2 linked regions of the Anolis sagrei genome follow. The protein of the gene in region 2 interacts with the protein of the main gene of each other region in a pairwise test. Links are inferred from orthologs where the notes say so. Each region holds a gene or a part of one and is shown on either strand. Other genes may lie near its edges.

Evidence for each region. The genes of interacting proteins can lie anywhere in the genome.
Region 1: the proteins of PKNOX1 (region 2) and pre-B-cell leukemia transcription factor 2 interact in binary tests that used the Homo sapiens proteins (3 or more experiments, as listed by UniProt). The link is inferred for Anolis sagrei from reciprocal best matches to the Homo sapiens genes PKNOX1 and PBX2.

What each region holds. Positions count from the first base shown.
Region 1 is NC_090022.1:16,307,274-16,314,490, forward strand, and holds the start of pre-B-cell leukemia transcription factor 2, read left to right. Parts: upstream 1-4,196; 5' UTR 4,197-4,556; coding exon 4,557-4,762; intron 4,763-7,217. UniProt on the Homo sapiens protein: Transcriptional activator that binds the sequence 5'-ATCAATCAA-3'. Activates transcription of PF4 in complex with MEIS1.
Region 2 is NC_090023.1:75,239,241-75,246,238, forward strand, and holds the start of PKNOX1 (homeobox protein PKNOX1), read left to right. Parts: upstream 1-3,978; 5' UTR 3,979-4,159; intron 4,160-6,998. UniProt on the Homo sapiens protein: Activates transcription in the presence of PBX1A and HOXA1.

The sequences.
Region 1 (7,217 bases), on a different chromosome or scaffold from region 2:
GTGGGCATTGACCTTGAGTTTTGAAGTTGTAGTTCACCTACATCCAGAAAGCACTGTGGACTCAAATAATTATGGATATCAGATGTCCAGGATGGATTTTCATTCACTGGACCAAATTTGGCACAAATACCCAATACATTTGAATACTAGTGAGGTTGGGGGGGGGGGTGATTTTGTCATTTGGGAGTTGTAGTTGCTGGGATTTATAGTTCACCTACAAACAAAGAGCATTTTGAATTCCACCAGTGGTGGAACTGAACCAAACTTGGCACATGGAACTCCCATGACCAACAGAAAATACTGGAAGGGTTTGGTGGGCATTGACCTTGAGTTTTGGAGTTGTAGTTCACCTACATCCAGAAAGCACTCTGGACTCAAATAATTATGGATCCAGACCAAACTTAGCACGACTACTCAATATGCCCAAATGTGAACACTGTTGGAGTTTTGGGAAAATAGACCTTGACATTTGGGAGTTGTAGTTGTTGGGATTTATAATTCACCTACAATCAAAGAGCATTCTGAATCCCACCAATGATAGAATTGGGACAAAGTTCCCACACGGAACTCCCATGACCAAGAGAAAATACTGTGTTTTCTGATGGTCTTTGGTGACCCTTCTGACACCCCGCTCATGACCCCCCCCCCCCCGAGGTCCCAACCCCCAGGTTGAGAAACACTGATCTAGAGATTTGTTGTTGTTTATTTGTTCAGTCGCGTTGGACTCTTTGTGACCTCCTGGGCCAGACCACACCAAAGCTCCCTGTCGGTTGTGGCCACCCCCAGCTCCTTCAAGGTCAAGCCAGTCACTTCAAAGATATGATCCATCCATCTTGCCCTTGGTAGTTCCCTCTTCCTTTTTCCATCCATTTTCCCCAGCATCATTGTCTCCTCTAAGCTTTCCTGTCTTCTCATTATGTGGCCAAAATACTTCATCTTGGCCTCTACTATCCTTCCCTCGAATGAGCAGTCGGGCTTTATTTCCTGAAGTATGGACTGGTTGGATCTTCTCACGATCCAAGGCACTCTCAGAACTTTCCTCCAACACCACAGTTCAAAAGCGTCTATCTTCCTTCACTCAGCCTTCCTTATGGTCCAGCTCTCACATCCATAGGTTACTATGGGGAATACCATTGCTTTAACTATGCATTTCTTCATGGGCAGTGTGATGTCTGTACTCTTCACTATTTTATCCAGATTGGTCATTGTACCTATGGCTACCTCCTAAGCTGCCTTTTTGCATTTTTTCCCTTGCAGAGCTCTTCACTGTGCTCCAAAAGTCGCCATTGGGAAAAATGGGAACTTGTAGCTAAATGTACTCTAACAACCACTCTAACAACCCCCATGTCAGACTACACAAGAAGCCATTGAAATACACAAGCTTATGGACAATTTCAACAGAAAAGGGGGAAACCATGAAAATGAACAAAATCTGGTTACCAGCATTTTAAAAACTCTAAAATCAGGACAGTAAATAAAGAGCAACTCTCAAAAAGTACATGAATTCAGACAGGAAATAATCATGGCCAGCTAACACCTCCCAACAAACGATTCTACCAGGCAAGAAGCAGCCTGGCTTTGAAACTGCAAAGCCAGTCAGTGCTAATCAAGGTGGCCAATTGCAACATTCACACTTGCCTCAAACAGTTATTTCCCTCACCCTGGACATTTCACAGATATATAAAGCCCACTTGCCTAGTTTCCAACAGACCCCACAGCCTCTGAGGATGCCTGCCATAGATGTGGGTGAAATATCAGGAGAGAATGCTTCTGGAACATGGCCATACAGCCTAGAAAACTCACAGCAACCCTGTGATTCTAGCCATGGAAGCCTTTGACAACACACTAAACCTTTATTGACAAAATATTTATTAAGCTCTTCTTTTGAGGATAGTATTCTTTTAGGCTATCTGAAAGTATAAGAAATATTTATAAACATAAAACATTAAAATATAACATTATATGAGTGTTTTATTTTTTCCTATGTATGGAGACTTTTGGGATACCCTGTATATTAGTCATTGGGAAACAGAGAACATTATCATTATTACCATTGTCAATTATCTGCCAGCTACCCAAAGGCATGGTCCCATAACCAAGTTTTCAATTTCCTCCTGAAGACAAGGAGGGATGTTGTTGACCTGATTTCGCTGGAGAGTGAGTTCCACAGGTGGGGGGCCACCACTGAGAAGGCCCTGTCCCTCATCCCCACCAAACATGTTTGTGCCAAAGGCAGGGCCGAGAGCAGGGCCTCCCCAGAAGATCTTAAATTTTGAGGTGGAACGTAGAGGGAGATAGGTTCGGACAGGTAAGCTGGGCTGGAGCCGCATAGGGCTTTGAAGGTCAAAACCAACACTTTGAATTGTGCTCAGAATTGGACCGGCAGCCAGTGGAGCAGAGGGTGGTATGCTCTCTGTATGATGCTCCAGTGAGTCGTCTAGCTTCTGCCCGTTGGACTAGTTGAAGCAGAGGTCCTCAAACTTTTTAAACAGAGGGCCAGGTCACAGTCCCTCAAATTGTTGGAGGGCCGTATTATAATTTGGAAAAAAAAATGAATGAATTCCTATGCACACTGCATATATCTTATTTGTAGTGCAATTTTTTTAAAACAATACAATAATTAAAATGGAGAACAATTTTAACTAATATAAACATATTAGTCTTTCAATGGGAAGTGTGGGCCTGCTTTTGGCTGATGAGATAGGATTGTTGTTGTTGTGTGCTTTAAAGTAGTTTCATACTTAGGTCGACCCTGAGCGAGGGCCGGGTAAATGGCCTTGGAGGACTGCATCCAGCCCCCAGGCCTTAGTTTGAAGACCCCTGAGTTGAAGTTTCCGAGCAGTCTTCAAAGGCAGCCCAATGTTGAGCGCGTTACAGTAATCTATTCAGGATGTAGCCAAAGCGTGGACCACTGTGGCCAGACCAGGCTTCCCAAGGCGCAGCTGCATATCAAATATTTACATTATGATTAATAACAGAAGCAAAATTAGAATTGTGGAGTAGCAACGAAAATAATCTTATGGTTGGGGGTCCTCACAATAGAATCATAGAGTTGGAAGAGACCTCATGGGCCATCCAGTCCAACCCCCTGCCAAGAAGCAGGAATATTGCATTCAAATCACCCCTGACAGATGGCCATCCAGCCTCTGTTTTAAAGCTTCCAAGGAAGGAGCCTCCACCACACTCTGGGGCAGAGAGTTCCACTGCTGAACGGCTCTCACAGTCAGGAAGTTCTTCCTCATGTTCAGGTGGAATCTCCTCTCTTGTAGTTTGAAGCCATTGTTCCGCGTCCTAGTCTCCAAGGAAGCAAAAAACAAGCTTGCTCCCTCCTCCCTATGACTTCCTCTCACATATTTATACATGGCTATCATATCTCCATGGCCACATCATGAGGAGACAGCAAAGCCTAGAGAAGACAATTATGCTGGGGAAAGTGGAAGGCAAAAGGAAGAGGGGCCGACCAAGGGCAAGATGGATGGATGGCATCCTTGAAGAGACTGGACTGACCTTGAAGGAGCTGGGGGTGGTGACGGCCGACAGGGAGCTCTGGTGTGGACTGGTCCATGAGGTCACGAAGAGTCGGAGACGACTGAACGAATGAACAACAACATCATATCTCCTCTCAGCCTTCTCTTCTGAAGGCTAAACATGCCCAGCTCCTTAAGCCGCTTCTCATAGGGCTTGTTCTCCAGACCCTTGATCATTTGAGTCGCCCTCCTCTGGACACATTCCAGCTTGTCAATATCTCTCTTGAATTGTGGTGCCCAGAATTGGACACAATATCCCAGGTGTGGTCTAACCAAAGCAGAATAGAGGGGGAGCATGAGGGACTGTATGAAGAGGTGGTGGTATTAGGAAGATTGAGAGCCACTGTTCTAGCTAGCCTATTTTTTCCTTCTTTCTCCTTCCTCCTCTTCTCCAGGACTTGCCTTGCAACCATCCAGCGGAGGGCAGAGCAGAGAGAAAGAGAGAGAGAGAGAAGGAGGGAGAAGGAAGAAAGGAAGGAGAGAGGGAAGGAGGGAGGGAGAGGCCAGCCTTGGGCCCCCACCTCTCTCTCTCTCTCTCTCCCACCAGGGCGCCAAAGGGGAGGCCTGCTTGGAAAGAGAAGGAAAGAGGAGGGAGGGAGGGAAGGAAGCAGGGAAGGAGGGAGGGCTGGGAAGAGGGGAAAGCGAGCCTCCTCTCCTCCTTTTCCCTCCTCCTCCTGTGCTTCCCTCCCCCTCTCCACCAGCTCCTCCCCCAGCCCTTGTGCGGGACTCCATTTTCCCAGCCCCAAAGTCTCCAAGGAAAGGGGCCCTGGGAGCGCGCATCCAAGATGGAATAACCAGCCTTTTCTCTCTATTTTCTTCTTCTGCTCACCCACTCCCCCTTTTTTCCTTGACTTGGGGGAGAAAGAGGAGCAAGCAGCCCCCAGACCGACGCCTTTGTGTGTGCGCGTGTGTGTGGTTGTGCGTCTTGCGGGGAGACTTGTTTTGTGCGCGCCCTCCTCCTCGTCCTCGTCCTCCTCCTCCTCCTCGGCGCGCCTTGTGTGCTTTGGGTGGTCCTTGTCGGCGGCGAGGATGGACGAGCAAGGGCGGCTGATCCAGGCCCGGGGCCCCGTGGGTCTGCCGGGCCACCCCTCGGTGCCGGGGGTCCAGGCCATGGCCCCGCACGCCCTCCACGAGCCCCCCTCGGACAACGGAGAGCCCCGCAAGCAGGACATCGGGGACATCCTCCAGCAGATCATGACCATCACGGACCAAAGCTTGGACGAAGCCCAGGCAAAGTTGGTTACCCCCTCCTGGCCTTTTGGGGGAAGGGCGCCGAGTTGGGGGTGAGGGTTGGGAATGGGACCCTTTGTGTGGGGAAAAACTCAAGGCAAAAGGGAGGGTTTACTTGGGGGAAAGTGTGGGGTACTTGGAGTGGCGCCACTCCACACCAAAGTCGCGCTTTCCCCCTTGTTTGCGTTTGGAGATTTCCAGGGGCCTTGGAGTATCAGGTTGGGCTCTTGGAGAAGCACTTGGAAATCCAGGATTGGGCCCGAACCCACACCAAAGGGGTTTTTCTGTGCTCGGAGATTTCCAGGACCCATGGGGTTATCCGTTAGGGCTCTTGGAGAAGCACTTGGAAACCCAGGATTAGGATCAAGCCCACACCAAAGCCTTGGGGTTTTGTTTTGTTTTGTTTGTTTTTTTACTTTTGGAGATTTCCAGGGGCCTTGGGGTATCAGATTGGACTCTTAGAGAAGTACTTGGTAACCCAGGATTGGGATCAAGCCCACACCAAATCCATGTCTTGTTTTGTTTTTGTGCTTGGAGATTGTCAAGGATGTGGGGATGTTTGAGACATGCTTGAAAAGGAAAGATTGGTCTCAACCCCACACTCAAGTCTTGCTTATCTGTTGGGTTTTTTTGCACTTGGAGATTACCAAAGGCCTTGGGGTATCAGATGGAGAAGCATTTGGTAACCCAGGATTGGGATCAAGCCCACATCAAAGCCTTGCTTTGTTTTGTTTTTGCACTTGGCAATTTTCAGGGATGTGGGGATGTTTGAGAAGGGCTTGGAAAGGAAAGATTAGTCTCAACCCTACACGCGAGTCTTGGTTTTCTGTTAGGTTTTTGCACTTGGAGATTACCCAAGGCCTTGGCATATCCTTTTGGGCTCTTGGAGAAGCACTTGGAAGCACAGGATTGGGATCAAGCCCAGACCAAACCCTTGGAGTTTTGTTTTGTTTCTAGGTTTAGAGATTTTAGGGGCCTTGGGATAACAGATTGAGCTCTTGGAGAAACATTTGGAAACCCGGGGTTGGGATCAAACCCACATCAAAGCCTTGTTTTGTTTTGTTTTTGCACTTGGCGATTTTCAAGGATCTGGGAATGTATAAGAAGTGCTTGGAAAGGAAAGATTGGTCTCAACCCCACACTAAAGTCTTTCTTAGATGTTTGGTTTTTGCACTTGGAGATTACCAAAGACCTTGGGGTATTCTTTTGGGCTCTTGGAGAATCACTGGGAAACCAAAGATTGGGATCAAGCCCACACCAAAGCCATGTTTTGTTTTGTTTTTCGGCTTGGAGATTTTCAAGGATGTGGGGTGCCAGGCTGGGATGTTTGAGAAGGGCTTAGAAAGGAAAGATTGGTCTCAACCCCACACTAAAGTCTTTGGTTTTTGCACTTGAAGATTACCAAAGGCCTTGGGGTGTTGGTTTGGGCTCTTGGAGAAGCACTTGGAAACCCAGGATTGGGATCAAGCCCATGCCAAAGACTTGGGGTTCTGTTTTGTTTTTGTGCTTGTTGATTTTCAAGGATGTGAGGATGTTTGAGATGTGCTTGGAAAGGACAGATTGGTCTCAACCTCAAACTAAAGTCTTGGTTTTTTGTTGGGTTTTTGCACTTGGAGATTATCAAAGGCCTTTGGGTACCCTTTTGGGCTCTTGGACAAGCACTTGGAAACCCAGGATTGGGATCAAGCCTACACCAAATCCATGTTTTGTTTAGTTTTTGCGCTTGGCGGTTTTCAAGGATGTGAGGATGTTTGAGAAGTGCTTGGAAAGGACAGATTGGTCTCAACCCCACACTAAAGCCTTGCTTGTCTGTTAGGATTTTGCACTTGGAGATTACCAAAGGCCTTGGGGTGTCAGGTTGGGCTCAAGCCCACACCAAAGCCTTGGGGGTTTTGTTTTGTTTTGTTTTTGCACTTGGAGATTTTTAGGGATGTGGGGTGCCAAGCTGGGATGTTTGAGGAGTGCTTGGAAAGCAAAGACTGGTCTCAACCCCACACTAAACTCTTGCTACTTCATCGCAGTTTAAATCAAGTTTCTTCCTTCAGAATTCTGGGGTTTGTATTTTAGTGAGGCTGTTAAAGGCTCCTCCCTAAACTACAAACCCCAGAATTCTGCAGGAGGCAGAAACTGAATTTTAATATAAATTTTATTGAATGCTTTTCTACAACTACAATCTTAAAATAAAGGAGGGGATTGGGAGGGGGAAAAAGGAATGAATTGGGATAGTTCAGGGGAAGGAAAGTTTCCTATGGGCAGCAACAGGATTTATAGTGCATTCAATCTCTAGTGTGATGAGGTCTTGCACTTGGAGATTACCAAAGACCTTGGGGTGTCGGATTGGGCTCTTGGAGAAGCACTTGGGCCCCTTCTACACAGCTGGATAAAATCCCACATTATCTGCTCTGAACTGGAATATATAGCAGTGTGGACTCGGATAACCTAGGGGCCCTTCCCCATAGC
Region 2 (6,998 bases):
AACAAGGCCTTTCACATTCACTTAAGTGTGAGCCAAGTAACCAGACTTGTTATGTCTGGTGCTTGGTTCATTTTAAATCAGTGTTCAGCTTCTTACTGTATTTTTGTAATAAAAATGTGTTACTCATATCTTATTAGTATATGGATATGATGAAACCAATAATATTAAGTTCTCCTTCTGTTTATTTATATCCCATTTTTTCTCTCCACAAGGAGACTCAAAGCTGAATATCCTATTATTCTGAGAATTCCAGCCATTGTGAAATACCTACAATATGATGACAATGCCAACAAATGCTATATTGTTAAACTTAATGATTAGAAACAAACTGTACCAAGAACAAAATGGTGCAACATTGTAAAACAGTAGTTTTAAAATGAGTGTTATTTAGCATTGGGTGTTGCTGAATTCAGGTCACTTTTTCCAATTCATAGATTACACATTTTTGTGAATCACAGTAATGTTGTTGCAATATTTAGGTCATGAACTAGTTCGTTATGAATAGGTCTTCATAGACAACAGATTAGGGAAATATTCACAGATATAAGTTATTGGTGTATTAATGTATTGGAAAATAAAACAGCAGTTAAATCCAAAAGTCAGAATACAAAACATAAGATGACTAAATTATCTTTTATTCTCACCTTTTTGTATTTCATAGCCAGATACAGTACATGATTCTATAAATACAAAGAATTTAACAACTAAAAAAATGAATGTTCCACATCTCTATTGATTTTTAGTGTTTATTTTAACAAGTCTCTAACTCTTTGCAAAAACATGTTTATCCACTTGCATAGAAATGAGCACAGAGTCATTAAAATGACCTCTACATACTATTTTAACCACATTAAACTTCTTAGTTATTCATATTGGGAATTTCTAATTTGAAGTTATGGGTACCCTCTAGTAAAAGCACTGACGCCCCAGAAAGTTAATATGAAAAGTATCTACTACTATTGTTTCATCCATAAATTTGTCAAAGTGGACTCCGAGGATACAAAAACAGCTCCAAGGTTTTATGATGGGTAACACACTCTAATTTTGAATGAGTACAGTGTTTTGGGATTGTGTACTTCCAGGTAGATATGTGGTAAGTTGGCTCCCAAGCAACCCTGAAAAGAAAACAAGCTCGGGTTTGATTTTTAGAGACAGACACACAAACACATACCATGGATAATGAAACACATAGATGGCAAAATCCAGAGTTGCTTATTGGAATTGTGCATATACCATATAAAATTCCAAAAAGCAACTCTCATTTTTTTTTCATGCTGTGATTGATTGAATCCATTGATGCAAAATCTGTAGACATATAATGGCAAAATCAAGGTTATTATATACACACACTCTCTCTTATCCATAAAGACACACAGGGAGGGCTCACTACTTAGCAAACTGTCAGCTGGAATTCTTCGCACAGGCCTCTCATGAAACCAGTGGTTCCCAACCTGTGGTCCATGGACCATCAATGGTCTCCAAGAACGAAAATATGACATGTAGCAATGAGAACGACTGGACTTACAAAATCCTCTTATAGTGCTGAAGCAATGGGTATGTCAGGAAGGGAGAGGCTGACTACCAACGAAAGGTGTGACAAACCTCCTGACTGCTGCTTTTCCTCTTCCTCCCTCTACCTGAACGGAGCTGTTCCATGTGGCGCCTGGAAACAGAGGCACCTTGGTGTCATTTTTAGCCCTGTTCCTGGGGTTATTTGGGGTGCTGATTCAGAAAATTGCATTGCATAGATCACATCAGCTCTAGATTATTAAATATGGGTGAGCAGATGGCGACTCCTGGATGGCATATGTTCTGTATCAGAAACTAGAGCTGATGTGGTCTATCCAATGCAATTTTCTGAATCAACACCCCAAATATTATTTATTTAAAAGTTTTGTATACCGGTCTTCTCACCTCTCTTGAGGGACTCAGACCAGTTTCCAACCATAATATCACATACAATCAATAAAACATCGCAATACATATTACAGTAAAACATTAAAACAGCAATTACAATCAATAACTATAATGGTCAGTCGTTACACTAAAATCGCTGCTCATCATCCTCCATCCATATCTCAGGGTGTTGGCTCACTCGTCAAATGCCTGTCTCCATAACCAAGTCTTCACCTGTTTCCTAAATGTCAGGCTAGAAGGGGCGGTTCTGATCCCACTCGAGGCCGGTGGGACTGAGAGCAGGGCCTCTCCAGACGATCTTAATAATCTTGATGGTTCATACATTCAGAGAGGTAAACAGGGCCGGAGTCGTTTAGGGCTTTATAGGTTAACACCAGCACTTTGAATTGTGCTCGGAAGCTAATTGGCAGCCAGTGGAGCTGGTGTAACAGCGGAGTGGTGTGCTCCCTGTACCCAGCATCCGTTAGTAGTCTGGCTGCCGAGCGTTGGACTAGCTGCAGCTTCCGGCCAGTCTTCAGAGGCAACCCCACGTAGAGAGCGTTGCAGCAGTCTAAACGGGATGTAACCAAAGTGTGGACCACCGTGGCCAAGTCAGACTTCCCAAGGTACGGGCGCAGCTGGCGCACAAGTTTTAATTGTGCAAAAGCTCCCCTGACCACCGCCGAAACCTGGGGCTCCAGGCTCAGCGATGAATCTAGAACTGGATCTAAAATTGACCAAAACTGATTCTTAACCCTTTTGGAACTAATGTTGAAGGGTGGTCCCTGGTAAAAAAAAAAAAAAAAAAACAAGGTTGGGAAACACTGCACTAAGCTCTGTGGCCTGAATTTCAAATAAGCCTACATTAAAAAGTAAAGGTAAATGTTTTCCTGACATTAAGTCTAGTTGTGTTCGACTCCGGTGGGTGGTGCTCATCTCAATTTCTAAGTCGAAGAGCTGGTGTTGTCCATAGACATGGTCATGTGGCCAGCATGACTGCAGGGAACATCATTACCTTCTCGCAGAAGCGGTACCTATTGAGCTACTCACATCTGCATGTTTCGTATCATTTCCTGCCCCCAACCAACACTGTTTTAAAACCACAGGTATAATGATTTTCACTTTTTTCCTTCTGAAAGGAATCACATTGTTACAGATCTCAATGTATTTCAACAGTTAAATTTGGGCAACCAGGAAAGGGTTGCTATAAGACCCTCTCCATTACCCTTATCTGTATGTAAATAAATATATATGTATTCATTCAGATGTAAACATGCATATAAAATATGGGTTCATAAATCCGTATGTGTGTATATGTATATATGTGTGTGTGTATTTATCAATGTATATATTGTTTATATAAATGTGTGTATGTGTATATACCCAGTGGGTCAAAAGTCACAAAGGGGTTTCAATACCAGGTGCGCTAAAAGTTACAAAGGGTTTCAAAATTCATTTATTTTTTAATTTATAATTCCACGGCATCATATACAGCGGGTGTGGGAAACTCTAGCCCTCCATCTGTTTTGGACTTCAACTCCCACAATTCCTAACAGCCTCAGGCCGCTTAAGCAGCTGAGAGGGAAAAGGAAAGGGCCTGGGGCTGTTAGGAATTGTGGGAGTTGAAGTCCAAAACAGATGGAGGGCTAGAGTTTGGCCAGGCCTGCCTCAGATGCCGAAATTTGCCCATGTATTCATATATAGAGAGAGGGCGTGAGAGGAGCAGAGGAATCCTAAGCCGTTAACAGTCCCTTGCTCCTCTTTCCCTTTGTTGCCTGCACATTCCTTTAAAGAGAATGGGAGTACTGGGTAGCCCATCGTGTCGCGACAGTGATGGGCGCTGCGACCCACCTGCTGGCCACTTAGCCTTACGATAAGGCCTCATGACGTCACGCGCAGCTTCCCTCAAGCCGAAGGAACCTATTAAAGGCCTGGGAGAGGGGGCGTGGCCAACCCGCCCACCTCATGAGTATTCATAAACCCGAGGCGGTCGCGCGCCGAGGCCCCGATGGGGCGGGCCCGTGGAGGGGAAGGCCCCGCCCCTTCCAGCCTAGGCCGGCGCCGAGGTGGGCGTACCTCCAAGCGCGACGTCGCCCACTCCTTCGCTGAATATTGATGAGGCGTCTCGCGGAGCGTGCTGTCGTGTCAGCCCGGCGTGGCTCCCGATTGGACGAGGGCGTGTGTGCGCGGTGACGCGCGTCGCGGCGGTGCGGGTCCCGATTGCTGCAGCCGCTTGTCAGTGTGACGAAGATTGGCACCCAAGGTAAGCGCTGTCACTCAAACCTGCTCCTAGCCAGCCAGCCAAGCAGCCAGCCATCCATCCATCACGGCGCGCCCGACGCCGCCGCCGCCAGTGCCGGCCGCCTTGGCTGAGCCGCGCAAACGGACCCGGGGGTGTGGGGCGGGGGAGGCGAGGCCGACATACGGAACAGCAGGGCGGGGGCATCCTCGAGTGGCGGGGCGGGAGGGAGGGGGGGTTGGCCGAGGGGCGTCGGCAGGCAGGCAGGCAGGCGCGAGGGAGGGGGAGTGAGGAAAATTCTGGAACAGCCGTTGCTCTTGTAGGAGGGGGAGGGGGAGTCGGCGGGAGCGCGCGCGCGCCCGGGAACGAAGGTGTCGCGCGCCTCAGGGGGTGGAGGAGGGGGAGGAGGAGGGGAGAGAAAAGGGCAACAGCTGTTTGTGGCGCGAGGCGACGCGGGGGGTGGGGGGGGGGAAGAGCAGAGGCAGAGGAGGGCGAGATTTAAAGGGGCCGCTTTCAGGGACATTCCGATAGACCTGGAGCAGCGGGGAGAGAGGCAGCAGCTGCTTGTGCTTCTCCTCCTCCCAAGTGCCCCTCCCTCCCCCCCTTCCTCGAGTGCGGCTTGGGCTCCTTTGGCCCTCAGCCCGCGGGGAAGGAAAGCCAACCCTGAGGGAAAGGCCCTTCCTCCTCCTTGTCGCCTTTCCGTTGTTTCAGATTCCCTTTTCACCTGTAAACCGAGGGCCCTTCCATACAGCCATATAAACCAGAATACCAAGGCAGAAAATCCAACAATGTTTGCTTTGAACGGGGACATCTGAGTCCACACACTGCCATATGTCCCATATATATAAAGCAGAAAATGTGGGATTTTATTCAACTGGGTGAAAGGGGCCTGACATTATGAGACGTGCGAAGGTTTACATAATATGGCTGTGAACAATAAAACATGAGGTGTTTCACCTCCTTTCTGTCCCCTTTCCTTACTTATCTCCTTTCAGATATATATATTATATATGAGGAATATTTGTGTCTCATGTCAACTCCTCCCAAAACGGATTGAATGTTGAAAGATTCTGGAGATAATCCACCAAGCATTATTATTCCTCCTTTGTGATTATTTTTGTGAGTGGTAATAAATGTTGTATATATTTATATTTGAGGCATCCTGTGATGTCGCACTGCCACCCCCTGACAGGAACAAAAGGCTTCTAAATACAATAGAGTCTCGCTTATCCAATATAAACGGGCTGGCAGAATGTCGGATAATAAGGGATGAAGGAAAAGTTTATAAATGTAAAATTACATTATAATTTTACAAATTAAGTACCAAAACATGTTTTAAACCAGGGGTCCTCAAACTAAGGCCCGAGGGCCAGATGCGGCCCTCCAAGGTCATTTATCCAGCCCTCACTCAGTGTCAACCTAAATCTGAAATGTCTTGAAAGCACACAACAACAACAATCCTATCTCATCAACCACACTTCCCATTGAAATACTAATAAGTTTATATTTGCTAAAATTGTTCTTCATTTTAATTATTGTATTGTTTTTAAGTGGGTTTTTTTTGCACTGCAAATAAGATACGTGCAGTGTGCATAGGAATTCATTCATGTCTTTTTTTCAAATTATAATCCGGCCCTCCAACAGTTTGAGAGACTGTGACTTGGCCCTCTGTAGCCACATAATGCTTATGGCAGGTCTTTGTGCAGACTTCTACTGAAATAAATTCATTTCTGGAATTCTGGTCACAAAAAAGGTTTGAGGACCCCTGTTTTAAACAAATCGACAGAAAAAGCAGTTCAATACATTGTAACGTTGTGTAGTAATTACTGTATTTACAAATTTAGCACCAAAACATTGCAATGTATTGAAACAGCTGTGGATCTGGGTGGGAGGCAAACTGCGTTGGGTAATACAGAACATTGGATGAGCAAGGTTGGATAAGCGAGACTCCACTGTAACAGGGCCAGCACCCCTTATCTGGAAATCAGAAAGCGCAATTGTCCAAATGGCCGGCTAAGATAGGATTGTCCAAATAGCTGGCTAAGAAAATATGGGTTCATAAATCCATATGTGTATATATGTTTGTATCAATCTATATATTGCTTATATAAAACACTTGCTTTCTGATGCTTTAACATACATTGATTTTGTTTCATACATAAAATTATTGAAAAACATCATACAATAGACTCAGATCAACCCTGGCAAAAAGTTGAAGAAATAATATGTAATAATAATAATGAACTTTATTTCTAGACCACCATCTCTCCTCAGAGGGACTCAGGCGGTTTACATATAAAAAGGCAAACATTCAATGCCTCAAAATGGGTACAAACACATCAAAATAATACAGGGTGATGGAGGGTAAACTTACAACAAAGGAATTAAATCTCAAATATAATAAAAAATTAAAATAAAAGCATTGAAATAAAATAAAAACAAGGACAATCCACTAAGACATAAAAACAAAAACATAAGTAAATATTTCAATATACACTCTAAAAGCAAGTTAAGATACATTACATTAGTGGTTATCAACCTGTGGGTCCCCAGATGTTTTGGGCTTCAACTCCCAGAATTCCTAACAGCTGGTAAACTGACTGGGATTTCTGGGAGTTGTAGGCCAAAACACTTGGTTGAGAACCACTGCATTACAGTAAAAATGGCTGACATCGCTGCTTTGTTTAAGATGTCTCATAACATAAAATACAAGTGGATTAGCCACCATTCAAAGTGCCCTGGTCCTCCCCTCTATACACTAAAATACATTTTTAAAACTTTAAAACTATTTTTTATAAAACAGTAATAATAATAATAATAATAATAATAAACTTTATAACCCACCCTATCTCCCCAAAGCAGG